Oryzias latipes: one gene and its partners. The protein of the gene in region 2 binds, or shares a complex with, the protein of the main gene of each other region. Links are inferred from orthologs where the notes say so. Each region holds a gene or a part of one and is shown on either strand. Other genes may lie near its edges. The genes, in order: nup107, nup93, RANBP2-like and GRIP domain-containing protein 8, nup214, nup98, cetn3 and nup62.

Evidence for each region.
Region 1: nup93 (region 2) and nup107 share a complex: the UniProt entries of both Homo sapiens proteins name them as parts of the nuclear pore complex. The link is inferred for Oryzias latipes from reciprocal best matches to the Homo sapiens genes NUP93 and NUP107.
Region 3: nup93 (region 2) and RANBP2-like and GRIP domain-containing protein 8 share a complex: the UniProt entries of both Homo sapiens proteins name them as parts of the nuclear pore complex. The link is inferred for Oryzias latipes from reciprocal best matches to the Homo sapiens genes NUP93 and RANBP2.
Region 4: nup93 (region 2) and nup214 share a complex: the UniProt entries of both Homo sapiens proteins name them as parts of the nuclear pore complex. The link is inferred for Oryzias latipes from reciprocal best matches to the Homo sapiens genes NUP93 and NUP214.
Region 5: nup93 (region 2) and nup98 share a complex: the UniProt entries of both Homo sapiens proteins name them as parts of the nuclear pore complex. The link is inferred for Oryzias latipes from reciprocal best matches to the Homo sapiens genes NUP93 and NUP98.
Region 6: nup93 (region 2) and cetn3 share a complex: the UniProt entries of both Homo sapiens proteins name them as parts of the nuclear pore complex. The link is inferred for Oryzias latipes from reciprocal best matches to the Homo sapiens genes NUP93 and CETN3.
Region 7: nup93 (region 2) and nup62 share a complex: the UniProt entries of both Homo sapiens proteins name them as parts of the p62 complex. The link is inferred for Oryzias latipes from reciprocal best matches to the Homo sapiens genes NUP93 and NUP62.

What each region holds. Positions count from the first base shown.
Region 1 is NC_019881.2:22,230,650-22,234,896, reverse strand, and holds the start of nup107 (nuclear pore complex protein Nup107), read left to right. Parts: upstream 1-1,447; 5' UTR 1,448-1,542; coding exon 1,543-1,550; intron 1,551-3,237; coding exon 3,238-3,317; intron 3,318-3,416; coding exon 3,417-3,512; intron 3,513-3,581; coding exon 3,582-3,676; intron 3,677-3,754; coding exon 3,755-3,890; intron 3,891-4,150; coding exon 4,151-4,247. UniProt on the Homo sapiens protein: Plays a role in the nuclear pore complex (NPC) assembly and/or maintenance. Required for the assembly of peripheral proteins into the NPC. May anchor NUP62 to the NPC. Involved in nephrogenesis.
Region 2 is NC_019864.2:28,049,515-28,053,014, reverse strand, and holds part of nup93 (nuclear pore complex protein Nup93), read right to left. Parts: coding exon 3,432-3,500; intron 2,066-3,431; coding exon 2,021-2,065; intron 414-2,020; coding exon 297-413; intron 225-296; coding exon 106-224; intron 28-105; coding exon 1-27. UniProt on the Homo sapiens protein: Plays a role in the nuclear pore complex (NPC) assembly and/or maintenance. May anchor nucleoporins, but not NUP153 and TPR, to the NPC. During renal development, regulates podocyte migration and proliferation through SMAD4 signaling.
Region 3 is NC_019879.2:17,115,947-17,119,446, forward strand, and holds part of RANBP2-like and GRIP domain-containing protein 8, read right to left. Parts: coding exon 3,456-3,500; intron 3,353-3,455; coding exon 3,215-3,352; intron 2,926-3,214; coding exon 2,794-2,925; intron 2,680-2,793; coding exon 2,458-2,679; intron 2,375-2,457; coding exon 2,291-2,374; intron 2,209-2,290; coding exon 2,070-2,208; intron 9-2,069; coding exon 1-8. UniProt on the Homo sapiens protein: E3 SUMO-protein ligase which facilitates SUMO1 and SUMO2 conjugation by UBE2I. Involved in transport factor (Ran-GTP, karyopherin)-mediated protein import via the F-G repeat-containing domain which acts as a docking site for substrates.
Region 4 is NC_019870.2:10,687,387-10,690,886, forward strand, and holds part of nup214 (nuclear pore complex protein Nup214), read right to left. Parts: intron 3,459-3,500; coding exon 3,144-3,458; intron 3,011-3,143; coding exon 2,843-3,010; intron 2,540-2,842; coding exon 2,428-2,539; intron 1,734-2,427; coding exon 1,670-1,733; intron 1,113-1,669; coding exon 1,046-1,112; intron 875-1,045; coding exon 790-874; intron 1-789. UniProt on the Homo sapiens protein: Part of the nuclear pore complex. Has a critical role in nucleocytoplasmic transport.
Region 5 is NC_019872.2:23,868,842-23,872,124, forward strand, and holds part of nup98 (nuclear pore complex protein Nup98-Nup96), read right to left. Parts: intron 2,636-3,283; coding exon 2,382-2,635; intron 2,307-2,381; coding exon 2,031-2,306; intron 1,119-2,030; coding exon 961-1,118; intron 891-960; coding exon 750-890; intron 682-749; coding exon 530-681; intron 469-529; coding exon 247-468; intron 154-246; coding exon 1-153. UniProt on the Homo sapiens protein: Plays a role in the nuclear pore complex (NPC) assembly and/or maintenance. NUP98 and NUP96 are involved in the bidirectional transport across the NPC. May anchor NUP153 and TPR to the NPC.
Region 6 is NC_019870.2:1,965,938-1,970,119, reverse strand, and holds the start of cetn3 (centrin-3), read right to left. Parts: upstream 2,801-4,182; 5' UTR 2,652-2,800; coding exon 2,635-2,651; intron 1,935-2,634; coding exon 1,802-1,934; intron 1,731-1,801; coding exon 1,616-1,730; intron 1,546-1,615; coding exon 1,354-1,545; intron 236-1,353; coding exon 192-235; 3' UTR 1-191. UniProt on the Homo sapiens protein: Plays a fundamental role in microtubule-organizing center structure and function. As a component of the TREX-2 complex, involved in the export of mRNAs to the cytoplasm through the nuclear pores.
Region 7 is NC_019879.2:22,073,856-22,077,709, reverse strand, and holds nup62 (nuclear pore glycoprotein p62), read left to right. Parts: upstream 1-1,128; 5' UTR 1,129-1,444; coding exon 1,445-2,947; intron 2,948-3,041; coding exon 3,042-3,200; 3' UTR 3,201-3,354; downstream 3,355-3,854. Other genes in the region: pdk1 (pyruvate dehydrogenase (acetyl-transferring) kinase isozyme 1, mitochondrial), read right to left, coding at 127-235. UniProt on the Homo sapiens protein: Essential component of the nuclear pore complex. The N-terminal is probably involved in nucleocytoplasmic transport.

The DNA of each region.
Region 1 (4,247 bases), on a different chromosome or scaffold from region 2:
TTACAATTCTATAGGAGCTTGACTTGCTGAATGTAAATATTATTTAATTTAAACAAAATTAGGCGAATTTCTGTTGTTAGAAAAACGTTTCTTCTTCTGACCTGCTTTAAGAAAGAAAAGTCCGGTTCAAATGGGATGTTCTAGCTTCTTTTTAAACCAGAACCTGCGTCATTGATCAAACAAATGCAGAAGAACGCGGTTCTTTTATTCTGAAATCCCGCACCAGAGTCTGATCTGCGGGGTCCAGGTTCAAATCTGCGACCATCTGATGAATGACCTCTCTGTGCGGCCGTCGCCTCCAATCCTGCCACGCAGTGGGAAAAGTTTACCTGGGGTCTCCATCTTCCCCCGGGTCAAACAGACCCTCTGGCAGCGCTGGGGATCCGCCGGCGGGGGTCGATCCGGCCTCTTAGGTGACCAGGACCCGCTGCTGACCGTGAGAATCTCCTTTTCCGGTTCTCTGAACGGCGGAGATCTCCTTTTAACCGGACCACGAAGCGTCCGGTGTTCCTGCTTTAGCTGAGCTGCGTGAATCGATCACGCAACAGCGGCAGCTAACGGAGCGGAGGGCAGAGCACAAAGATGGTCTATTAGGAAAGACGTCTCACTCCGACCACAGCCGGGAATTGACAAGGGAAAAAACTCCTAATACATCCTTTTAAAAGCGTTTATCCGACACAATTCAACTTCTATGTAGGGAACATAAAGTGTATCTTAATGTATAAAAATATTTTTCAACATGTTTTTTTAAACGGAATTTTCAAATAATACACAATCTTTGAAATCAGACGTATTGAAACATTTTCCTTCCTGACATTACAATGTTCACTCTTGTTAAAAAAGACCCTTTTTTCTAAAAACTTCCTGTTTATTTAATATCAAAATTAGGCACAACTTTAAAGTCATTTAAAAAAAATGCAGGACAACTATTTGATTTGATTTAGATCAAATGCATCATATCATATGGTTAATGTGTTCTTTGTCATTCTGTTCTCTGGATGGAAGTTCAAATAACATCAGCTATTAAAATACAAGTTTAAACAGTTTGGAGTGTTTAAGAAAACCTTTTGTAACATAAAATCTGTACAACACACAAGGAACTCTGTCTTTCAGCAGCTGAACAGGCCAAAGAAATGAATGACTGAATAATCACTTAAAATGTAAATATGACACAATTACACAAATGTGAACTTTTTTAATCAAATAGTGGATCTGAATATCTATTTAACTAAATGAATAAATCTAAAAAACACAAAAAGGCAAATTGATACACAAAATTACAAATAATAGGATTACTGAAAGAAAAGTGAAAATTAAAAGATATGTATATGCTTAATTAATATTTAAATTAATATTTATATTGTCTTTTTTATTTCGTCCTCTCAAAAATAGATGTAATCTAATGGTGAACTCTAGGGGGCAGCAGTCAGCTGACAGGCCTGACAGATTTACCTTAAATTCAAAGGCAGATTCGTGAGAAGAGGCGAAGAAGTAAAAGACCAGAGAAGAAGAAAACATATCGGAGCGGGAATCGGCTCCAGCATGGACTGGTAAAACATTTTAAATTTTTGTGTCATTAATGTGACCAGCTGTGAAACACTGATACGTTCACATTTGTACGGTTCGATCGGTCAGTTTTTGCGTTTTTGTTGTCTCCGGGAAACGTTACAAGAGTCAGATTAGCAAACGATGCTAGCATCAAGCTAATCAGTCAGCTGAATGTCATGACGTCTGTTTAGTCAAAAATAATGAATGATAGGTTTAAAGACCCACTTAGGTTAAATTCTGATCTATTTTCAAAGCGTTCCCAGTGTTTTTATTTTTTTGATTGTGCTGTTTTTTTAGCCAAAAGACAAACACTTGTCGTTCTTGGACACAGTTATACTAGTAGTAGTATGTTCTTCTGCAGAGCGGCAGGAGTTAATTAAACTCCCTCAACTCAGGTGTACTAATGATTAGTACACCTGAGTTACACCTAACCCCACCCCCTTCCCGTCACCCATATTTGAGATCTCTCAGTTGTACAGTTTTGATCCAGATTCCAGCTCAGACGTGGAAAACAAAAACGTTCATGGATCAATTTTTGTCGGCAAATGGATTAAATTCAATTCAATTCAATTTTAAGGGGAAAACTCCCATAAAAACGGATTCCGGAAAAACGAAGAAACCTCAGGGGTGTCCACATGAAGGAGGGATCCTCCCCCAGGACGGACAGGCGATTTACCAGAACTCTTAGAGAAGAATTTACTTATCTAAATCTACAACTACACATTTAAAGTCCAGCAGACGAGCTTCATCCAGCCGTGGTTGGGGGGACAGTCAAAGGCGCGAGTCGAGTCAGAGGCAGGATCCACAGCCAGGTGTAGGAGCAGGAGCAAAGGCGAGGTAGACGGTCAGCAATTGGAGCACGGATGATCCAACTGGAGTCTGGAAGCACTCCCACTCCCCAGGAGGGGAGAGGAAAAGAGTGACAATACATGAATCACACTGCACCAAACAGAGGCATGGAGAACTAAATGATGAATAATGATCAAGAATAGAGGAGAGGAAGGGTAGAAGTAGAAGAGAAAAGAGGACAGAACCCCAGTGCACCATAGTTACCCCAGCTTCAACTTCTAGCAGCCTTTTAAAAGAAAGTTATTAAGTTTAATTTAAACAAATTAACATTAAGTTAAATAATCTCTGAATACTAACTAGTCTGACAATAAGCCTGTCCAAAGAGGAATGTTTTAAGTCTAACTTTGACTGTAGAAACTGAGTCGGCCTCTCTTCCATGAGCTGGGAGTTTATTCCATAAGACAGGGGCTTGGTGGCTAAACGCTCTACCTCCAACCGTACTTTTACTAATTCTAGGAACCACAAGCAGTCCTGCGTTTTGCGAACGAAGTGTTCTGATTGGGTGGTAAGGAACTATGAGATCTTTGATTTAGGACGGGGCCATTCCATGTAAGGCCTTATAGGTTAACAGGAGGATCTTGAACTTGATTCTATAATCAACTGGGAGCCAATGGAGCGAAACCAACACAGGAGTGATGTGATCTCTTGCATTCTCTTGCATTGGATGCATCAGAATGGAACTTGTGGCCCCAAACGGCATATTTGCTACATGATATTTATTATCTTTTTCATTTGGCGCTTTTTCGTCTGTTCCTGATTCACATTGAAATGAAACTAGGAGAAAATTGGCTTTTCAAGTAAGATAATGTATGTTTCTGTTTTGATCTCTCTGACCTCCAGGGGTCAGAATGAGCTTCCGTCTCCGGTGGTTCGAGAGGAGGAGGTGACGGTCGCAGCCAGGAGGAGGAAGAAAGTGGCTTGTATCCTCCAGCTTCAGTAGCTGTGTGTGTTTCTGTGCGTCTGTGTGTACAGTTATATGTCGGGACAGTTTCTTTGTTTCTCCTGACTCTTGGCCTCAGTCCCGTCACCCAGTGGTGGCAGCCCCATCGCTTCTGCTGCAACACCAGCCCGCCCCCACCTGATCAACACTCCTGCCTCGTTGTTCAGGCAGGCCGGTGAGATGCTCACATTCATGTCAGATCTGAGGCTTTGAGCTATTCCTACCTCATGTCTCTGCCTCTCAGTCACCCCCAGGGTTCCAGCCACTTCTTCTCTTTTGGTTCCTGGAGGTCGAACGCCTCGATTCATGCACACGCCCAGAAACGCGCTCAGCAGTCTGGTGAGACCCTGATTAATGTGCAGGGACAGCCGGGATCAGCTGCAGTCTGTAACTCAAACCCGTCCATTGCGTATCTAGAATTTGGACGACAGCGATTGGACCAACAGCTTTTACACCTCGCCCGTGTCTGGACTGGAGAACACCAGCTTCTTCAAAGACGATGCTGCCAACCTGAGCTCAGCCCTGCTCAAGGAGGACGATCCAGGAGATGCAGGTGAGGAAAACAAACCACTTTCATGCCTTCACATCACACGCCAATCGGGTGTCAAATTCGCTGCTCGAAGCTTGTCCTAAAATGTGTTTTTAAACCTGATGTGAAATTATGATGTGATGACAGTAAAAGACTGAATAATTGATGAGAAACGAAAAAGCCTCATTGTTGTTTGAGCAGCATCTCCAGGTACATTTCCCTCTAAAGAAGAAAGCGTATCATTTTTTAATAACCAACCTCTCCTGACTTTGCTTTCTCTGCAGCAGCTGCAAGTCTTTTCCCAGAATTCCTTGCCTCCTTTCTGAAGCACTCTTCCTCTGCGGTGTTTGACCTGTTGGAGGATTATCAGAGCCTCTGCCA
Region 2 (3,500 bases):
TCCCCTGCGATCCCCTGACAGCGGTACCTGCAGCAGAAACACAGGGAGGGTCATTTTTAGCATCCGTAGCGTCACTGTTGGCGCGCACCTGCGGCGTCCCCTCACCTCTCTGCGATGGCCACGGCGGTGTTCTTGAGCCTCTCCTTGTTGGACTGAGGCGCGCTAACCTGGGCAATGACCGGACTCAGCAGCCTGTTCATCAGCTCCAGCACCTTGTCTGGGTTCTGCGGGGGCACAAATGGAACTCAGGACCACCGGCTCGGCGGAGAGCAGCAAAGACCAGCAGTTCTGCTCACCTTGGCCAGCTCGTAGAGTTTGACCGCCTCCTCGAACAGGCCTTTGTTCTCAGCCTCTAAGGCCACTTTACTGATGATCGCTCTGGTGTCTCCGGCAAACTTGTCGATCACGCCGGGCTGGAGAGGGGATCAGAGGAGTGAGAGGAGAAGCTGAGCCGGAGGTTTGGAGTGTGAATCAAAATCCAGTTTTGTCCTGTTAGCTCAGACGGCTCCGCTTCCTTCTCCACCTGTTAACTCTGTGAATTCTCAAAACAGTCAGTTGATCCATAAATCCTTGTTTGTTTTTACATCCGTTTGTGGTTTTGTTGCATGTGTATGAAAATGTCTTTATAAATAAAGTTTCATTTGATTTGATCTCACTAAAATGTTGTTACATAATAGTTTTTAACCACATGAAGACATTTATGTGACTGAATATGACTATCATTTTCTAACTTAATGGAAAAATTGCTGAATTGCATTTAATTTGAATTAATTTTTTTCTCATTTCTTCTATGACCCCTCAGATTCTTAATTCGTTTCTACATAAAGATTTAAATTTAAAGAAAATTAAACCAGACACACAAAAAATGTTTTATTATTTTACTTAATTTTATGTAGTAATTCTGGCTTCTGTCAGTTTTCCCAACATAATACACCGTAGATGCTGATCATATTAAATAAGGCTGGAATTAAAATAATTGTAAAATGATAGATCTTAATTGATCCTTTTTGAAATTATAAATTGATATTTTTCTTCAAATATAATTTATTCTAAACTTTTTTTAAATCCGTTGTTCATAAATAAACAAATAAACTCAAACTAAGCATATTATTTTTCTGATTTAAATTATCTATGATGTGAATGCTTTTTATTATTCAATAAAATATAATAGTATTGATATAAAAAAGAACATTTTGTGTGATCAAATCATAAAAATCTAATAAATTAAAATAAAAACAGGTAGTACATGAGTTTTAATGCTTGGTCAGGCACAATGTTTGCTTTTGTGAGATTCGTGGGAAAGAGGGAAGAAGAAGAAGAAGAAGAAGAAGGTGACATCATACATGGAGTTAATTAGAATTTCTTATCAGTAATTAATCAACATGGGTAAAAAGACGTGTGTTGAAAGAGTCATGGAGTTCACGCTGATGCCTCCTGCAGAACGCAGCCATCTCCATTTTTTTGTCCGCCTCGTATGTTCTGTATGTGGAGCATCTATAGGAAGGAAATTAAACGTAATCTTCTCCTGAATGGACATCAAAACACGCCGGCACACATTTTCAAACTTGCCAGGAGCTCGACGGTTAATCCAACAAAGCCTTCAATCAAACCGCGCGTGAGACGCGTTCAGAGCCGCACTCTGGATGTGTTTAGTACCCAGAATAGAGTGTGGGATAAAACACAGCCGTGAAAAATGTGCGGAAACAAAAGCAGCTTCAGACGTCACGCAGAGAGAGTGCTGCAGGCGCCGTGAGAAATGTAAAGAGAAAAAATGTAGGTTTAAATGCAGATTTTGAGGCTTCTGATCCTTGAAAGGTGACCAGCTTTCTCTGGATGTGAGGCGCTGAATGTGTAGGAGACGACTTCTGACTGAACATCGTGCCGGGCGGGAACAAAGAGGAGAGGAAAGAAAGAAAAATCTGGAAGCGGATGAAGGAAAAGAGATGGAGAGAAGGTGTGGGGCAAATAGAAAGAGCTAGATTAAATAAATGAGGAGGGGAGATTGACTCAATCTTCTTACCTTCCTACTGCCGTCCTTCTCTAATCTCCCCAGCAGCATGTCAAACTGAGAGGAAAAGTAAAAAAAAAAAAATCAGTCACAACGGTTCATCTGTGCTGTGAGATTAAGCAGCAACATCTCAGTCGCACTTTTCGTGTTTCACAAGTCAAATTTTCTGACAGAAAATTCAAAAACGCTTCACTAAGATAGTTCAAAAGTCTGCACACCAAATAGGTTGTGACTAGTAACACAAAAATTCTTCATTTTAAGGTACAATGCCCAAATCAGGATGTTGATCCAATTTGAAGTTAAAATGTCTCTTCTGGTGCAGCAACACCACTGACTTTATATGACAGCTGGACTGAGTGACTCCTCCCCCATGGCGTTCCAAACAGGAAGTGGCTCCAAGAAGCCAAAATCCCATCAATCAACAGCTGTTCCTCAGTCATTCTATTGGTCAGAAAATCCATTCCTTTTTTTTTTACATTTTCTTGCTAATCTGCCTTTATTTTTTCTGTACTTCAAGTTATTTAAGTTATAAACTGACCAATCAGATCGACAGAAATGGGTGGAGCCTGCTGGGCCCCAAGGCCAGCGTTTGAAACGTCTGACAGATTTCGTTTAGCCTGCTTTCAAGAGGTAGCGGTGTGGACTTCAAACGCGCTCAAAGCTGAGAGGCAGAGTGGTTGCCATGGAGACAATGACTCAGACCAAATGCTTACTGAGGTTGTCGGGCTCCAACATGGCAGCAATGTCCACATCGCCAAAAGAAAAAGTCAAATGAATTAACTTCATTTGGTTGTGGCGGGAAGTGAAGCTACGTTGGCAACACGCGTTAAAGCAACCAACTTGAATGAAAAGTCAATGTAAATGCTCATATATGCGCCAAACTGACCAATCAGAGACTTGGGTTTGGTATTGACGTATGGATGGCGTCCCTTTAAATTCACATTTGAAAATTGATCATGAAGGAGAAATTAATAATTGTGTTTTGTATGTTTTTTCCGGCTGGAGAAAGTCTTTCACATATCAGAAGGGAGCTGAGAAAGAAAAAGGCCTCGCGGCATTTGCACCGCTTCCACATTTTGCATCAAATCTCTTCCAAACAGTAAAAAAAAAAACGATAAAGAACAGGTTGCCCCTCCCTACTCATTAAGTGTAAACGCCATGGGCTAAACGCACGTACAAGAACGCGCGACATGTGTGTGACGTGTGTGTGAACGTAGCCTAAACCATTTTCTATATGTGAAATCACACTCACTCTGTCCAGTTCTCATATATAGCCAATGGGCGACACTAAAACCGTCTCTTTTTTCCATCAGCGGAGGGAGTTTGATATCAAATCCAGCTCTACTGACTGGGTCAAACAGCACTGATTTATTGGCGCAGACATATTTCTCCAAGCCTTGGTAGGAAACCGTGGTCCACTCACCTCTCGACTCTCGATAACAAGTTCACTGACGCACCGCATGAACATGTTTTCTCCCTGGCTGTCCTTTTC
Region 3 (3,500 bases), on a different chromosome or scaffold from region 2:
GGTAGCCACTAAAGCAAATAGAAATCAAAGATTAATAGTATGTAAACAAAGGAATAGAATGTACAATAGTCTAGAGCCATGGTCCCCAACCTTTTTCAAGCTACGGACCGGTTTAATGTCAGACAATCACAGACTGGACTGCACAAGGCTAAAGAGGGTGTCCGATTCTTTTTCTTAGCTTCCAGTTTCCCTTAACTTTTGTTTTGAGTATAAAACAACTGTTTTGCAGCCTCGTCCAACTTTTAAGGCACAATTGCTACAGTGGGACAAAAAACGTATTTTGTCAGCCACCAACTGTCCAAGTTCTCCCACTTAAAAAGATGAGAGGCCTGTCATTTTAATCATAGGCATACCTCAATATACTTTTTTGCCCAACTGTAAATACACACACAAAAAAGACTGAAACTGGTATTTAGTTAGTTGCTGAATATTATGCATTATTATGTGTGAGAACCATCATAATGAATATTAATCAGTGATGAAAGTCAGGCAAGGAAAAAATCCCTGAACTTTTCTTTGAGCGATATGGCGGGCACAGAGCGAAATTTTGGAAAAATACGTGGTCTTAGATGCATTCTGGTGCATTCTGGCAACTAGTTATTCACTTCTTTATCAAGAAACTAAGACTAATTGGAGCATCATGATTTGTCATTCAAACCCCTAGTTTGACTCTCCATTAAGGACTTGCTGGTCCCAAAAAAGAATTTGGAAAATTGCTCAAAGTAACACAATCCTACAATCTATGCTTTTCCTTAAAGCTGCAAAACATACAATTGCTAAAATATAGTAACATCAAAGCCCCAAATGGCAAAAAGAACACCAGTAACTATTATATTCTATGAAAATACCTCAGTTATTTATACATTATTTCTGCTTTAGAAATGACTGATGTACAACATCCACTTGCACTGTTTTCTCAAACTATAACTACATCAAAATATGGGATCTGCTTTAAACTATAATTCTATAACATAATACATCAATTCTTTAACACCAATACTAAGTAATCTGGGAAATATCAAAACAAACATACAAACTAAGCTAAACATTGTAAACATCATTTTTTAAGGGAGTGCGGGTCCAAACCATCAAATACTTATAACTAATGTCAACTATACTGAACTAAATCATGGTAATTAGGAAATACAAATAAATTAGATAGAGAAATGTATTCAAAATAAAAACTGAAACTCAAAACTAAAATTGAAATTATTTCAAAATGTGGTTTTGAGATTATTTTACACAAAAAAGTATTTGACCTACACTACCTTAAAAATCTTTTTTTTCCAGCCAAGACCACTTCAATTTGTTTTTTATCGTCTTCTCACAACTGAGGTCGTGACCGCGCTCAATAATGACGATGCCTGCCATTATTTTAACACAAATTTGATCGCAAACTCTTCAGATGTGTTTGTGAAAATTTAGCGTGGGTCCGCCAGTTTTGGTCTCTAGGGAAGCGAGTCACGCTGACCACGTGGTGCAGACAGAGCCAATCAGACCCGTCGACGCATCCGAAAGCAACTAAAACGTCCCGTCATTGGTCAATTAGGCCGGGAAGACGAGAGATGGCCACGACCATAGAGGAAGCGATTTGCGGAGAAATATAGAAAATAAAGCTAAAATTAGCTGATTTCAGACCATTTTTTGATCCGGAAAGCGATTTGTCCGTAGAGATCAGGTCTTTATTTCCCGGAAAGTACGTTCGGTTTGCTCAAAAACCCGGATTTCCGGGAATTCCCGGAAGACTTTCATCACTGTTAATCCATATTTGGAGTAAAGACTCCTGGTTTTTGTCTGTTAACTGCAGTTTCTTTTTTCTATGAAGTCAAAGGCTCTTCTTCTATTTCCTCACATTTGATTTTTTTGCAAAATAAACTAAAATGAGTCAGATGTGGAGATAATCCAGTAGTTTTCCCAAAATAAAACTTCCTTCAGTATCAGATTAAAAAATAAAACAGAAAAAATGTTGGCGGTGCTTTTTTTCCCTCTGCACCCCGGTACTGTCCCACGGACCGGTACCAGTCGACGGCCCAGGGGTTGGGGAGCACTGTTCTAGATTGTATGCTGACCTGTTAGGGGGGCTCCGTGATAAGACTGGACTGGCGTAAATGGTTCCTGAAAACCCTCAGCCCTGTAGCTGTCTCCATACAACTTAGGAGGAGAACCTGCAGCCACTGATGCGTTGAGTTTTAGATCCTGAACCTCATTCTGCAAAACACAGATCCAATGAGTAAACTACCGAAAACACAGAAATTGTTTCTAAGAATGTCAATTAACTCCAAATTCTGACCTTCAGAGCTTCAACTTTCTGGCACAACATCTGCAGGAGATTTTTTTGGTCTTCGACCCAATGAGGTGGTGCCTTCGGAGAAATCTGAACAACAAGAGAAAACAAAGACTCACGATGCAGCTTTTATTATTATTTTCTCGTTAAAAACAAACAAGCAGTGCACTTACCAAACGTTTGGAAGGAGATACGATGCTCTTGTTAGGAGATGGAGTGGAGAACTTGATGTGAGAAATGGTGGCGCTGGTTTCCTGGAGATGAGCGGGACTGGAGTGATCTGGTCCTATTTGACGCTCAAACTCCTTCTCATCCTCCTCATCCTCCCCACTCTCCCCCAGCTGTTGGTTTACATCATTCAGGAGGTCGACAACTTCCTCCATGGATACAGGGAGCTGAATTCACAAAATACATGATTACAAACAAATACATTTGAAGAAGTCTAAACTGCGTATTTACCAAGAGCAATCTACCAATTATGAACTTTCTTCGTCATAAGTGAGACCGACCTTGTCGATGTCGTTTGCATTGGCATTGTAGATCCGTAGCAGATATGTTCTGTATTTTCTCAGAGAAGTTATACAGCGGTCTTGAGTCTCTTCCACACCATTGCTGGCCTCTTCTGACAGTCGCTGATGGATCTGCAGGAGAATCAATCAAAATTGTGTTTTAAAAGAATATTTTCACATTCAACAGTTATTCTTCAGATCAAACCACTGAGACCTTACAAGGAAGTCTAAAATAAAAGTAGTAAAACCTGGCTCATAACCACTTTAATAGTTGTGAAGTTCACACAAGATATGTACAAAAAAAAAGAAAAAAACTTTTTCAATGACAGAAGATCCTTCCTAATTTCTGCAGTTTTTCAAACATTGAGCCGCTGAGAGCATCACTGTATAGAGAGGCAGTTTGGTTTCAGTCTGGGTTTACCTGTGCTAAATGCCAGGCAGATGACAAGTTGTTGATTTTCTCCAAGATGGTGATTGCTTCATCTGTTCTTCCTTCTATGTCAAGCAGAACAGCGTGCGCTATCTGAGCTTCTTCCTCATAACTTCTCACTGAAGAAATCTGAAAACAGAACAAAACGTTGAGGGGAGAAAGATGGATTTGTAAGGCAGCATAACCCAATTCATTTGGGGGGGGGGGGGGGGGGTATTAAAAGGTTATGAACCTGAATATTTTTAGAAGAGAAGTGCATGAAGAGGGGCTCGAGGGG
Region 4 (3,500 bases), on a different chromosome or scaffold from region 2:
GCCTTTAAACCAACTAGTGTGAAATCTTTCATTCATTCAATCATGCAAACTATTAGTGCAAAGGTGAGCTAACACCTGTGCTCAGGTGAGTGTTTATGTTCTTCTAAAATGGATGGTGGAATGTGAAAAGAAGGAGGAGGAGCGCCCAGCCACCCCCACACCCATACCCCCGCCGCAGCAGCAGCGGCAGCCGGAATTCCCCCAGCGCCACACGGGAACAGGCAGGGAACAACCGCCCCCCGGGCGACCAAGACCGCCACCCAGGCCAGGGCCAGCAGGACCGCCGCAAGGCCCCCAGAGCCAGAGAGCAGGGAGGCGCGGAGGGAAAGAGAGCGCCGCCCCAGCCCAGCCAGGAAAGCAGCCCCCCGCCGCGCCGGAAGAGCCCAACGCAGGTTTATTGGTTTAACTTAATGCAAACAATGACCCACAAAGTCATTTCAACAGAAAAAATATCAGATTTTTTTTTTTTAAGAGAACAGCTCTCTCTATACTGCTGATAGAGACGGCAGTGGGGCGGCTGCCAAGGGACTGTCTACAAAGTGCAAACTCTGGTAAAAAGTTATTTCAAAAAAAGTTTTAAAACAAGCAAAATAAATAAACGATTTTATTGATGTGAGCTAAGCATGTTTATTTATCCTCAAGCTACGACAACGATTTTGGAAGAAAGTTGTCTATAATTTTTACAAATATTTTTAATGGAGATATGAATCACATAAAGCTTCAGTCACTAAACTTTCTCCCCTGACTAATCATCACCTTTTTCTTTTAATGCCATTTGTGTTAACTCACCCTGAGGTGAATGAGAAGGCCTTGCTGGTGTTTTGCTCAAGTGAACTAGGTGGACCCCCGGAAAGGTCTGTTTTGGATGGTTGGCCTTGAGGACAAAAACATTCATAACATGAGTAAGAAAACTGCTAAAAATCGGATTTGCTTTTACAAAGTCCTAACTAAAAATTAGGGTCATGTGTTTATGTGTAACCACAAAGAAATTGGTGCAGATGTTAGGTCTCTTGCATCAAAACAGATTTTATCTTACAACACTTACCAAAGACAAAGCCTGTCTGTGGAATAGATGCATTCTCTGTGGGTATCTTTTGCAGACCCGGTGTGTTCTGCAAAGACACACATTTACCGCTGCAGATTCAAACTCGTAATCACAAAGTCAGCACTTTTCAGCAGGTGGAAAGGAAAAAAACAAAACATTCACACAGTGTCCTTTTGCGTCCACATTTACGAACTTGAACTCGTCCTGGAACAGGACTCGAATGAGGTGGCTCTCCTGTCAGACTGCAGCAGATTGTAGCACAAATTCAGGAGGGACATGAGGTATTTCTCGCCTGTGCAGTGAAGGCCTGTCTTCAGATGCCAAACTGTCAGCAGTTCGTGAAATTTCACATGTTGAATGTTATTTAAAATTATGAGGAAATATATAATTTTAATATGTCTTATCTAATCTTTTTCTATGTAAAACATGACGCCATTTTTAAATAGGAAATTGAGTAAAATGTGCGACACTACAATGAAAAAGTGCATGTCTGAAAATTCATCCAAAAATCATCCATACAGACAAGAGTGACTTCAGTCACAATACCACAACTGTAAACAAAAGATTTGTAAATAAAAAGTTGACTGGCAACCGCCTGCAGAGTGATAGAAAGATCCAACTCACTCGTTTGACTTGGCTGCTAGAAACTGCTGTGAAGCCCTGGACTGAGGGATCTGGCGCCGAGGAGCTGCAGAAGATCAACAAGACGGGTGGGACAGTTATTAAACACAAAGAAAATATGAGACTGAACATGAAGTTCATGTTTATTTAATTTAAAAAATTGGCTGGCCACAAGACTTTTTAATCAAAATATGGCCTTGTTCTTCATCTTAATGTTATTTATAGATATTGCATTATTTTAGTGTATTTGTGTCCATCTTAAAAAATAACATGTTTATAAAAATCTAGCATTAAAGATAAATAGCTAAACATGCAGTTTTCAAAATACCCCCCCAAAAAAAAACAGGTGTGTGAGACAATCTAATGTTTAGTGGTATAACAGTTTTTCTAATATTAAACATTGTTTTTTTTAATTGATAAAATAATATGATGGTTTTTTTTATTATTGTTTTTGTATTATGTGGTGTATTATTGTATTGTATTGTATTATTGTCTCTTGAAAAAAAGAAGCTTTCTTTAAGGTAAGTTAAGCAGACAGAAACCCTCAGCATTCAATAGCAATCACTCCATCTTTTGACAGTTTTATTTTTTTTACTAAAAAAGCAGGATGTTTTTAAATCTTTTTTAAAATATTCTTGGTGTTGATAGATAATCATAATTGCAATTGGCTACTTTTCATGACACATGACACAAATAAAAAAAGTGAAGTTAGTGACTTTCCCCTCTTCTAAAAACAGTTCAGGGTTTGATTTTTTTTTTACCTGACCATAGAGGACACTGGCATAGGTGCCCCTTTGTCCTTAAGCTCCTGAACATTCACTACTTGAGGGACAGTTTTTAAGGTGGACTCTGTCAAAGAAGTGTTGACAACAGCTGGAAAAAAAGAAGAAAAATACAAAAATTAAAATAGAAGCATTTAGGAGTAAAATGTGAGTTTTTATTGTTGTAGCCTTGAGTATCAGAAGGCCAATTTAGGTTCAGTAAGTTTTCCTTCAGGACCATTATTTAGTGTTTCCTGAGGTTTTATTGATGGGAATTTTTCTTTTTTATATGTTGAGATTTGTCTCCCCCTTGTGGTTTAGATGTTGCAAAGCAACAAAAACTTGACTTGTGTGCACATTATTGAAGGGAAAAATCTACTTAGAAGTGAATTTTTGAGCTGATTGTTCCTCCTACCCGTCTTCTGATTGGCCATTTGTCTCCGCAGAGCCGCGGTGGCAGCAGCCTGCTGGGCAGAGATGGTCACAGGGATGCTCCGCTCTGCAGGTGGTGCTCCATGCTTTACCGTCTTTGTGGCAAGCGCAGTACTTTCAGCCCCGCTGAGGTTAATCCTATTTGTAGGAACTAAAATAAAACATTTTCAATGAAACAGTGTTTTTTAAAGTATTCTTTTGGCTGTGCTATGAGGAAATTTCATTTCAAATATATTATAAGCTTGATAGGTTGGAAAAAGGCCAAACATGTTTGATTTACTTACCAGGGTTGATAATGGGGCTTAGCACAAAGCCCATACCAGGAACAGGGTGCATCTTTGTTAGAGGGGTGGACTGTATAGCTCCAAAGCCTGGCTGAATGGAGGGCGTTCGAACAACAGTGGGGTGACGTGGGGTGGGAAGTGATTGGGTCATGGAATTCATAGGTGAAGGCTGCAGGGGCTGTAGTTCTTCCTCTTCCTCCAACTCCAAGTGAGATGGGAGAAGCTCTATAGACTGCGATAAGGAGGACGTTGAGCTCACATCATCCAAGTCCTCAAGGTTTTTAGGGGCCAGGAAGGCCGAGCGCGACAAGTTGGCTGGAAAACAATTAAGTCTTTAGAAACTTATTTACGGAACAA
Region 5 (3,283 bases), on a different chromosome or scaffold from region 2:
TGCCGATGGGCTCGGGTGGCCTTTGCCAGGTGGATCCACGGCTCTGGGACCAGCAGCTGCTCGGTCAGGAAGCGTTCCCTCTGCAGGGACTGGTCCGACTCCTCCAGGGGGCAGTGCTGGCTCAGCACGTGCCTGACGGCGCGCTCGCGCTCACTGAGGACGCAGAGCGTTTAGTCAGAGCTTCCTACAAAAGCCACTGCAGCGGCTGCGTTTCCAGTTTGCGTGCACGTGCGGTCGGACACCTACGCGTGGTCGGGGATGTGCAGCAGGATGTAGACGGCCATGTGCCAGAGGCCGGCGCTCTCCAGCTGTGCGGCGTAGCTGGCGTGGAGGAGTCCCTGCCGCGCGGCGCTCAGGTGACTGAAGTTCAGCGCCTGCAGGACGCCCCACAGGTGCCAGCTGAGCCGGAAATCCAGGCGCTGCCAGGTAACGGTCAGAGGCTCCAGCAGCTGCTGCAGGCCGTAGTGTCTGTGGGGGTGGGGGGGTTAGAGGGTGAATGGGACTCAGACTCCAGTCAGGTGAGGCTTACCTGTCGCTGTAGAGCTTCAGCAGGTGGAAGCACAGATCGTACAATGGACGATTAGACTCTTCCTCCTCCTCCTCCTCCTCCTCATCAAAATGTTTTGCCTCCAAGTAGGGGGGGAGGGGGGCGCAGGAGTACTTCCCCCCCTCGGCTGAACCCTGCAGGAACAGCAGAGTGAGTTGACCTGCGGGAGGAACGGAAACGTTGCAGGTCAGCAGCAACTCACCTGGAAGGCAGCTTCGTACTTGGCGAGGGCGTCGGCCACGGACGCCGTGGGGGGCAGCATGTACCAGAGGTGGAGAGCCACGCAGCGCTTCCAGTCGAGCTGTGAGCACACGTTCACCACAGAGTCCGAGGACTGCCACACCTGCAGGGAGAATCTGCGCTCAGAAGACCAGAGTCTGGGCTGCAGGGTTTTCCAAAGGCGGAGCGCGTACCGGTTTTCCGGCGAGCAGAGCGTAGATGCGAAGCCGTTCCTCCGTCAGGTAGCAGTCCGTATGAGTGCGGCTCCAGTCGGCGAGCTGCAGTCCCAGCAGGTCGCGGCACATCTGAGAGCCGGCGGCCTGAGAAAGCAGCAGGGACAGACGGTGGTCTCCTGCAAACAAACAGGCGTAAGCCCCGTGTTCTCCTGCTGGTCCAGCTATGAAGGGTTACGGTTAGTCTGGAGCGTGAAGCCTCCTCATTATGGTCTAAAACCATAACGACAACAGGTTCAAGCAAAGCTGGACTTGACCAAGTCAAAACCATCCAGACCTCCTTAGGACTCAACCAATCATCGGACAGGCCGATATTTGTTATTTTGACATATGACGGCATCAGGATTTCTTTTATTTTATTTTTATAAATCAGACGAGCTGATTTTGAACCAATTATTTTGGCTCAGGATCTAAAACCAAAACACATTACACCCCTGCCCTGAATGGTGGTGGAGGGAGTATTTTTACGTATAACAGTTTTGCTAAACATAAGGATTTATTTTTCGTCCCATTACATTCCCCCAGGCTTAGTTTTACCACAGAGGTTTTTCTTCTTTTTTTCCCTTGCATAATAAAGCTTTATTTTTAGTTTTTTTTTGTTGCTTTGGATAAACTGCATTGAAACCACACAAAACCAAAATAGAGGTTTCCCCTATAGTTGGGAAAGGTAATCATTGCATTTCTAGTTTGAAGGATCCCTCAAACACAGCGGAGGGGAAAGGTTTTCTGGTGTGGAGAAGCTGTGCAGATGGTTCATAGGTCGTCTAAAGAAACCCAGAAAACTCTCCTGTAGTGATGAGGACCAGGCCTGTGCCTTTGACCATAATGTCTTTTACCACTGTCAATCATAAGTTGAAAAATGAAAGACTGCCCTCCCCGTACTGAGAAAGAAGCGAACAAAACTGTGCTCTACTACTAATAATAATCAGCATTGACCCTCAAAAACCACATCGGACGATGTCTATTCCTTAGTGCTCTTTCTGGCGGCGGTTCGTCTGTGGTTCTGGCTCTGCAGGTTCTGCTGAACTCACCTTCTTTCTGGGCGAGTCGACATGCCTCGCTGATTCGGTTTCCTGTCAGGTAACTGAAGATGGCGTCTGCGTGGCAACCCTTTCCTGCCACAGACACCTCCTCCTCCACCCTGTGGGTGGCGCCGGACGACAGCCAGGCGGAGAAGCTCCTCCTCCTGGCAAGTTGCTGCTCATACTGGCTGGGCATCTCAGCATCAGCTTCCACGTCTGCAGGGCCCAGGCGGCCCCACAGGGCCTCACACAGAGTCCAGACCTCAGCCCAGTGACCCAGGAGGGCTGCAGGGGGACAGAGGGTCAGATGGAGCATTGTAGGAGGCGGAGCCTTTCTACAGCTGTGACATTGTCACTCACGCTCTGCGCCGCCTTCTTTCTCCACCAGCTCTGTGATCCACTCGGCGTAAGCGTGCAGCGCGTCCACACCGGGCCGTGGCTTCACTAGAGGACAGTCGGACCCGTCTGGAACACTGACAGTGCTGTACTTCAGGCTGATTTCCAGGGGGCGTTGCAGCACGGTCTGGTCCTCGTCGTCCTCACTGGTCTTACCCTGAAGAGGATCTAGACCCACCAGCTGCTCAAGAACCACCTTGTACGGACTTTCTGTCAAACTGAAACCAAACATCAGGATTTGGAGTCACAAAGATGTCTTTGCTCTCTTCAGCGCTCTGTGGGAACCGGCGCCCTCCAGAAAAGACTATTTAATGTTTCCACAGTTTGGTGTTTTCTCCTGCTGTTATTTTCAGGTTAAAGCTACGTGGCGTGTGACCCAAATGTAGCCCATTACTAGCCCATGTTGCCACCTACAGTTGGAAGAGGCTTGTTGCAAAAAGTGGGCAAATCTGGTCAGTCTTGCTCCAGGCTTTTTCTTTCTTACATATCTGAAAGACTTGGCATCAGAATTCGGAGCAACCACAAACCACAATTATTAATTTCTCCTCTTCTGTGAATTAAAAAGGACATCAACCAAATTTGAAACCCTGGTTGGTCATATATGGTTATATTTTTAACGTTTGTTCGATGGTTTTGTATGTAAAGGCTGAAAACGGTCTTAAGCATGAACACAAGAGATTGGAACGCTGAAACGCGCATTTACGTGCGCTTACATAGACTTTTCTTTGGAGGTGGAGGCTTGATCACGCAATGCTGAGGGCGAGGTGAACACAGCTGAAGACTTCTCAGTTCAAACGAGAAAAATAGCTAAATCTATTCTGCATAAAGGAGTTTCTGCATTTTTGCTTGTCATTTCGACAGTTTCC
Region 6 (4,182 bases), on a different chromosome or scaffold from region 2:
ACACTCACACAAACAGTTCAAAAGTCAAGATCGACTTAAATCTTGATCTTTACAGAAAGTCAGTCCAGTTTTTACTGTTGGAAAGTCTTCTCATGTCCAGCGGGATTCAGACTCACGGGCTCTGAGGGGGCGTCCACTGGCTCTGTGGAGAAACGTCTGGGTCCAGCTCAGAAGGCGTTCCGGGCTCCTCCTCAGGAGTCTGCGGTCATGATGGCGAGGAACTCCTCCTGGTTTACTGAGGAAACACCGGTCTGCTCAGACTCTCAAGGCCTGTTCACACCGGGACGAATTTCGTCGGCGAAACGCCTCGTGACTAAACAAAGGGCACCAACGAGAGTGTGCACACCGACGCGAAAAAACGCCATGCGTTAAAGCGTCAAAAAAAAAAAACGCCTCGGGTTCGTTTTTTTTTTTTCGACGCGTCGCATCGAAATCTATTCGACCAATGAGAATGGCGCTTTTGCTCACGTGTCTGGAGCTTCTGAAGTTACAGTAAAACACAACTTGGGGGCGCTCAAACACAAAACTGCCTTGCTGAGCACACATACCAGCGAAGAAGATAGACGCCAAGTAGCGTCTACACAGCCGCGAAGCAATAATGACGGACATTCTAAAATATCCCCGAACCAAGCACCAGTTGGAGCTACTGATGCTTGAAATATTAATGTTTTCTTTGTTTGATTCTGACAAGCGTGTAAATACTTGCTCTCTTCTTCTGAGTGAAAAGCGACTTTAAGAAGCGTAAAGTTGCGCAGCGCCACCTTGTGTACAGGAGTATTTCTGTTTACATTAAGCGCCATCTAATGTCAGGGAATGAAATTGCATGTTCGCTCGGCTCATCGTCAGCGAAAATCGCCTGGGTGTGAACACAAAAAACGTGGAGAAAAACGCTGGCGAATAACGCCTGGCGAATATTCGTCCCGGTGTGTACGGGCCTTCGGGTCGCTAAAACTCTGGAACAGGTCAGCTGAGGAAACCGTGAGGGGAGGAGCCGCGCTCTCCGCCCAATCACCGGCGACCTCGGAGCGGGAACGCCAGAACCTTCCTGCCATGGAGGTCAGAGAGCGATGGGATTTCTAAAGCAGGAGCCGCACCGGGAGAAGAGCGGTCCACCTACGATCAGGAGGTCGCAGGTTTATGCGTTGAAGTGACCTTGAGCGAGAGACTGAACCCCCACCTTGCCCCTCTGTTGTCATGGCAGCTCTGCCGCCTTCAGAGTGACCTTAAAACGCGTTAGACCTGCATAAGAGCTACATAAGTACAGGCTGTTGACCCTCATCTCCGCGGCAACGACAGAACACGTGTCATCCGGTGAAGGGGGCGTGGCTTTAACCTGAGCGAATGCAGACTTACTCTCTCCGTCTCTGTCGGTGTCGAACTCGTCGATCATGCTGCGCAGCTCTTCGTCGTTGATGTCCTCGCCGAGCTCTCGGGCGACCCTCCTCAGGTTCCTCAGGCTGATCCTCCCGGACTCGTCGTCGTCGAACAGCTTGAAGGCCTTCAGGACCTCCTCCTTCGGGTCCCGCTCCAGGATGCGGTCCGTCACTGCGGGCAGACGCGTTTCAGGGCGGCTCCTCGTCGCCTGGCTCTGAGGAAGAGGAGGCCAGTGACTCACCTACTTCACTGAAGTCCTCAAAGGTGATCTTCCTGTTCCCGTCTCTGTCGTAGTCCTTCAGGATCTTCAGGACGTCCATCTTCTTCACTTCAAAGCCCAGGGCGCGCATCGCCACCTGGTGGGACCGTGACAGATGACACCTTTGGTCTCGTTTCCACGGTTTCCATCCGATCCGCCGCCGCTCACCTTCAGCTCGTGATAATCGATCTGTCGGTCCTTGTCCGTGTCAAACAGGTCGAAGGCCTCCTTGACCTCGTGCTTCTGCTCCTCGGTGAGCTCCCTCCTCTTATTAGGCTTGTTTTTGTCGGCCTGGTCGGTTCTGCGGAGCAAAACCAGAGTCACAGATTCTCCCTGTGACCACAAACCAGAGCTTGAACCTCGCCGTTCAACCGTGAAGGATGGACGAAGACAAAAAAACAAGAGTTTGAACATCTTCATCAGTCAGGAACAGACATGAAGGCAGGAGAAGACTGACGGCAAACTCTGAGCCGAGAGAGAAACCTGCTTCAACCAACTCAGAGATCTCCGATCAGATTTGAGCCAATAAGAACCCAGACCCATTTAGTCTTATCGTAGTATTTGACCACAAACCACAGAATCCTATTTCTGATATTTTTCTGTCACATTGACGTCACAACAGGTTTATTTGGAGAACCTTTGACCAAATATGGTGGAAAAACAAACGTTATTTCAAAATAAAAGAACTCATTCCCCGAAACGAGCTTTTGGTCCCGGAAAGTCCAAATCAGGTGAAATATTATCTACCGAGGACAGAACCTGAGAGGTCACAGAATTTCGGTGCAACGTCTTCAGCCAAGCTCAGATTGATTCAGAGACAGCTCCACCGAACCGAACCCTTTGACAGACACACATTTGGACCGTTTGGACCGACGCAGCCCTTTGACCGAGTCTCCGGTCAACAAGCTCTGAATGTTTGAGGCAAACGGGCGACATGCTAACGTCGGCTAACAAGGCGAGAGAACCGGAAATGACGTCACCGTAAAAGCTGCGATCCTCACCTCAGAGACAGACTCATTGCGATCGAATTGCAGATCCAAACGCGAAGATTTCACTTCCAAGGAACGGCTACTGTCGCTCAACGAGCAAAAACAAACCCCGCGTGTCCGCGCTCAGATCCGAGGTCCTCATTGGTCGGTGGTCTCTAGGCAACAGCAAGGCGCTCGCTTAGTGGCGCTCTGTTTTTTTTTCTTCGGGAGCAAACTGAACCCAAGCGGGACACCAGCGCCCCCTGCTGTCGTCTGTCATTGCTACATCTGCTAATACTGACGCTGGAATCCTTTTCAAAGTCAAATAAAATGTAGAAAAACTTTAAATAGAAAATCAGTTTGTGATTCACAAAAGAATAATCCAGATAACTTTAAGACACATTCCGGCCATCTTTTGATCTATTTCCCTTCCTGTGGACAGTTTTACAGGACAGTTTCTGCAGATCCACAGGAGTTCATCAGAGGTTCTCCTCTGAGTTGTGGCCATTGGCACACAGTAAGCCTGTCTAATTTCCCATGATTCCTTTGTTTACACTCTTTCCTGCTATCTAACAGCCCCCCCCCCAACCCCCCCAACATTACTGGTGCAACAAAAATGGCAGCCTCATCAGATCCGTCCATTCGTCCAGTTCAGACTCCAGCTCAGACCAGGAAAACAGAGATGTTTATGGATCTATTTGTCTGACAGTGAATGCATCGGAATGGAGCGCAGCACGGAGCTTGTGGCACCGCCCAGCACATTTTTTTCTTTTTTAAACTGCATTTTTTTAGTCTGCTCCTGATTCACAACAAATGAAAATTTGCGCTTAATTTTCTTCATACATGGTCCTCCATCATCAAGAACATGTTAAAAACACCTAAATATTAGACTTTGTCCTCCAACAGTTCAGCACACCCTTTATTTGTTGTAACTTGTTACTCTGAACTGATGACAAGTTTTCCTCATAAACATTGGTCAACGGTCCTGTTATGTCTGATGTCTGTCTGTCAACATTAAAGGCATGTAACCCATAATGGTCCTGGCTTGTTGAACAGTCGTCCTTCTCTCTGGAATCCTGCCGGAGGTTTCTACCCTCTGGAAATGCTTGGAGCATTTCCCGAGGGTCTTTGTGCCCCCACCCCTGATTTGGGCTTTGTCTCAGTTTTATCAGGGATTTCCCATGGTGCTCCGGGATGAAGGTGCCGCCCGGTCTCGGCTCACGTCGGGGCGTTTCCTGTGTCACATGTGTCATCCTAGATAACGCCTGAGTGAAAAACCATGTCGCCTCAGGAGAGATTCAAGCTCAGCAGAGTCTAAGTCAGAAAAAAATACAAAAAAACAGGTGGTAACAACAACAACAGGCAGTAGTTTGTGACGGAATGAAAATAACAGCATAAAAAAAACTCCTCCTGATGAATTTCCTACTGGAGCCTCTGAAGTTTCACTGCGATGATTGACTGGAGGAGGATTCTGGAGGCAGAACATTCTCCTTTCTGTTCAGCTGAAGGAGGATCTGTGTTTGATTTCCAGCCAGCCCTCCTGTTTTTACCCCCCACCCCACCCCCAACTCAGTCTGAGAA
Region 7 (3,854 bases), on a different chromosome or scaffold from region 2:
CATGGAGGACTTTCAAAAATACTTTAAAGTATCCTTTAAAATTCCAACCATAAGCTAGAATACACACACATAGAGAGAGGGGGAGTAAATTACAACTATATTTAAAGCATCTAAAATTCATTTTACCAAAATCCAGAAACTGCTTCATGGATAAAGGCGAAGGAGAAAACTTTGAGTAATAGTCAATGTCCTTCCCGACCGCCACGCTCTTCCTCAGGAACCTTAAAAGCCTCATGTTGCTCTCCGGCCTCGACTTGATCAGATTTCAAACACACACGACACGTCCGAATTCTTATGGCGCACGCGGCCACAACAATAAATATGTGACGCTTGTTGACACACTAGCTTGTTGGCTAAACTCAGCAGTTCGCCCGCACGTTTGCGATTATCGACCGTGTTTCCACTTGGACTGAATTCCTGCTGCAGGCATGGTCACAGACGGACTAAAGCATCATCCCTCACTTCGGACGTCCTCTGTAAAATTCAGTCAAAAGTCAACACGGCAAACGCACCCACTCCGCAGCTGAGCTAGCAAGTTCAAAGAGTTGATTCGACGCCGAGAGAACAACGCAACTATTTTGCAGTAGTCTTTATAAAATAAAGATGACAACTTTTATGCAATTTAAATAGATTATTCTTCTGCTTTTATTTTATGGTGGTTGGAATACAACTTTTGGGATGTTCGCCACCTACAAATTGATCACTTTTGGTTCCTAACCCGCATATCAGATGGGTTAGATTAGACCGCTAAAAACACCACTAATGTAGAAAGTAATACATATTTGCGTGACAAATAAAATATATGTTGTTTTACTTTAAAGCGTTTAACAACAAAACGAATTTATATAATTTTAATTATTTAGCAAAATGCAAGAGGAATTATTAACATGTAGTTCATATCTACGACACTAAAAAGTGCGTTCTGTGCATCTCTTGTCCTCTATTAACTCTTTGACTGGTTGAAATGCCGTCGCTCTGATCCCCAGTGCTTGTCTGTAAGGTTAAAAAATAAAAACCAATCAAATGTCAGCATTTTTCATTTCGGCACAGTAATTTGGTGTTAAGGATGTCAATCTAAACTAGAGGGTGGGGCTTTTTCTCTGACAGACAGAATTGAGGGCAAAATTGCATGTTGAAAGTGGCGTCACTTCCTTTAGCTACAACAGAAAGTATGCTCAAAGAAACGTTTGGTCAGTTACCCACGTTTTTTTTAAAGATGCTTCGCTAGTATTATTATATTTACCGGCACAGTGAAAGAATTAGTTATTAGACTATGATTTAAAATATCCGTGGCTAACGTAAGAAGTCCTCTCATTAGACGGTTTTTCTTCGGTGAAGCTAGTTGAACCGGCAGCTCGTGCTAGCGACCCGCCAAAAACTGTGGTGAAAGATACCATTTTGTTCGTAAGCTGTAAAGTCATTTTGTTTTTATCAGAGGAAGAACATGAGTGGCGGATTCAACTTCGGGCAACCTTCGGGTTTTGCCTTCGGAGCGCAGAAGACCACAGCGGCCGCTCCGGCCCCGGGCTTCAGTTTAACGAACTCCACGGCTGCGGCTTCGGGAACGGGCTTCTCTTTTGGCACTCCGACTCAGAGTCAGACCAACGCCAACCCGACCGGTGGCTTCAGTTTTGGCGCACCGGCTAAGAACTCTTCCGCCGGCGGCACCGGCTTCTCCTTTGGCACACCCAACGCCGCCGCCGCCACCGGCACGTTCGGCCTGGCCACGACTACCCAAACCACCGCCGCCACTGGGTTGACCTTAGGCTCCTCGGCCGCTCCAGCTGCGGGGTCCGGCTTCACCCTGGGCGGGATGTTGTCTTCGCAGACGAACAGCGCCGCTCCAGCGGGAGGGGGCTTCAACTTTGGGGCTACCTCCCAGGCCCCACCCGCAGCGACAGTTGCACCTACAACAACCACCGCATCAGGTGGCATGGCTTTCGGAGGGTTCAGCTTCGGAGCGCCGAAAGTCCAGGTGACCTCAGCTGCAAGCACAACCATCGCAGCGGGGGGAGGAGGCTTCAGCTTCGGGACCCCTGCCCCCTCCACCCTCACCCAGCCAGCCCCAGCAGCTGCAGCTCCAGCAGCTCCAACCCAGGGTGGAGGGTTTAACTTCGGAATTAAACCCTCATCAACACCAGCTCCTCCCGCATCCACCCAGTCAGCCCCCACCCAGTCAGCCCCCACCCTAGGCCTGTCTCTGTTTGCGTCACCTATCATCACAACCTCTGCAGCAGCGCCAACTTCAGGTTTTACTTTGGGTGCAGCTCCAGCGTTGTCAACCAGCATGGCAGCATCCACAGCTGCAGGTACAGCTCCATCCTTCATGCTCAAGCCTCTGGGGTCCGTTGCCAGCACAGCAGCAAACACCGGCTCCACCACCACCACAACAACTGCAGCTGTCACAGCTAATGCCACCGCAGGCTTCACGCTGGGATTCAAACCTCCGACCATCTCAAGCTCCACAACAGCCTCCACAGCAACAGCCGTTACAACCACCACCACGGCCCCTCCGGTGATGACCTACGCCCAGCTGGAGGGTCTCATAAACAAGTGGAGTCTTGAACTTCAGGACCAAGAGAGGCATTTCTTACAGCAGGCAACTCAGGTCAACGCTTGGGACAGAATGCTGGTGGAGAACGGGGAAAAGATCACGTCTCTGCATAAGGAGATGGAGAAGGTGAAGCTGGACCAGAGAAGGCTCAACCAGGAGCTCGATTTCATTCTGTCCCAGCAGAAGGAGCTGGAGGACTTGCTTTGCCCTCTGGAAGAGACTGTGAAGGAGCAGAGCGGAACCATCTACATGCAGAACGCAGACGAGGAACGCGAAAGAACATACAAGCTCGCTGAGAACGTGGACGCCCAGCTGAAGAGGATGTCACAGGACCTGAAGGAGATCATTGAGCACCTGAACACATCCAGCGGGCCGGCAGACACCAGTGATCCAGTAAGATCTGAGCCTTTTTTTTTTAAATCATATTTCTCATAAAATCAAGTCTTCTGCTGTTTTAATCGCCTTCCTTTCTTTTTGAATCCTTTAGCTTCAGCAGATTTGCAAGATCCTGAATGCTCACATGGATTCGCTGCAGTGGATCGACCAGAACTCTGTCCTGCTGCACAGAAGAGTGGAGGAAGTGTCCAAACAGTGCGACACCCAGCGCAAAGAGCAGGAGAAGACCTTTCGTCTAACCTTTGACTGATTTGTTTTTTGGCTCAGTGCTTATTTTTCCCATTTTGCTTTGGATTTTCTCCTTTATTATACTTCTATTGTGTGTTGCAAAACTATTTTAAATGCAATCATCTTTATAATTGTATCTACCTGAATAGAATGATTAAAAACAAATTTTGAACTTTTTTGTGTTTTCACATCCTAATTTTACCTGTTTTTTATCTATATTTAGGATTGAAAAACATCTAATGACAAGATTTGTTTCTTGTTCTAAGACTGATGTTACCCCTTGTGCTATCTTAGATGACCCCACCCTTACATTGACGTGTTCTCCCTACCATGACAAAGGTGGAAAGATTTCATGTAATCCATGGACACCAGTGAAGATCACAAATCATTGAAGAAAAAAGGTTCAGCGCACTGTCTAGTGGGTCTAGATGACCCCACTCCCAATGTTAAAGTGCCTAGGATAGCACAAGGGTTAATACTTGCAAGGTGGATTTTCAATTAGGATGTTTTTGCTATGACACTCGTTTGAAGGGGAATTGACTTCAGCATTTGTTTGAGTTTTGTCAAAACAATGTTTTAAACTTAATTTACGGAGAAGCTGAAGATGTTTTTTTTTTTATATAGAAAAGGAAGATTCATTAGAAATAATTCTTTAAATTGTTTTATATATGACAAA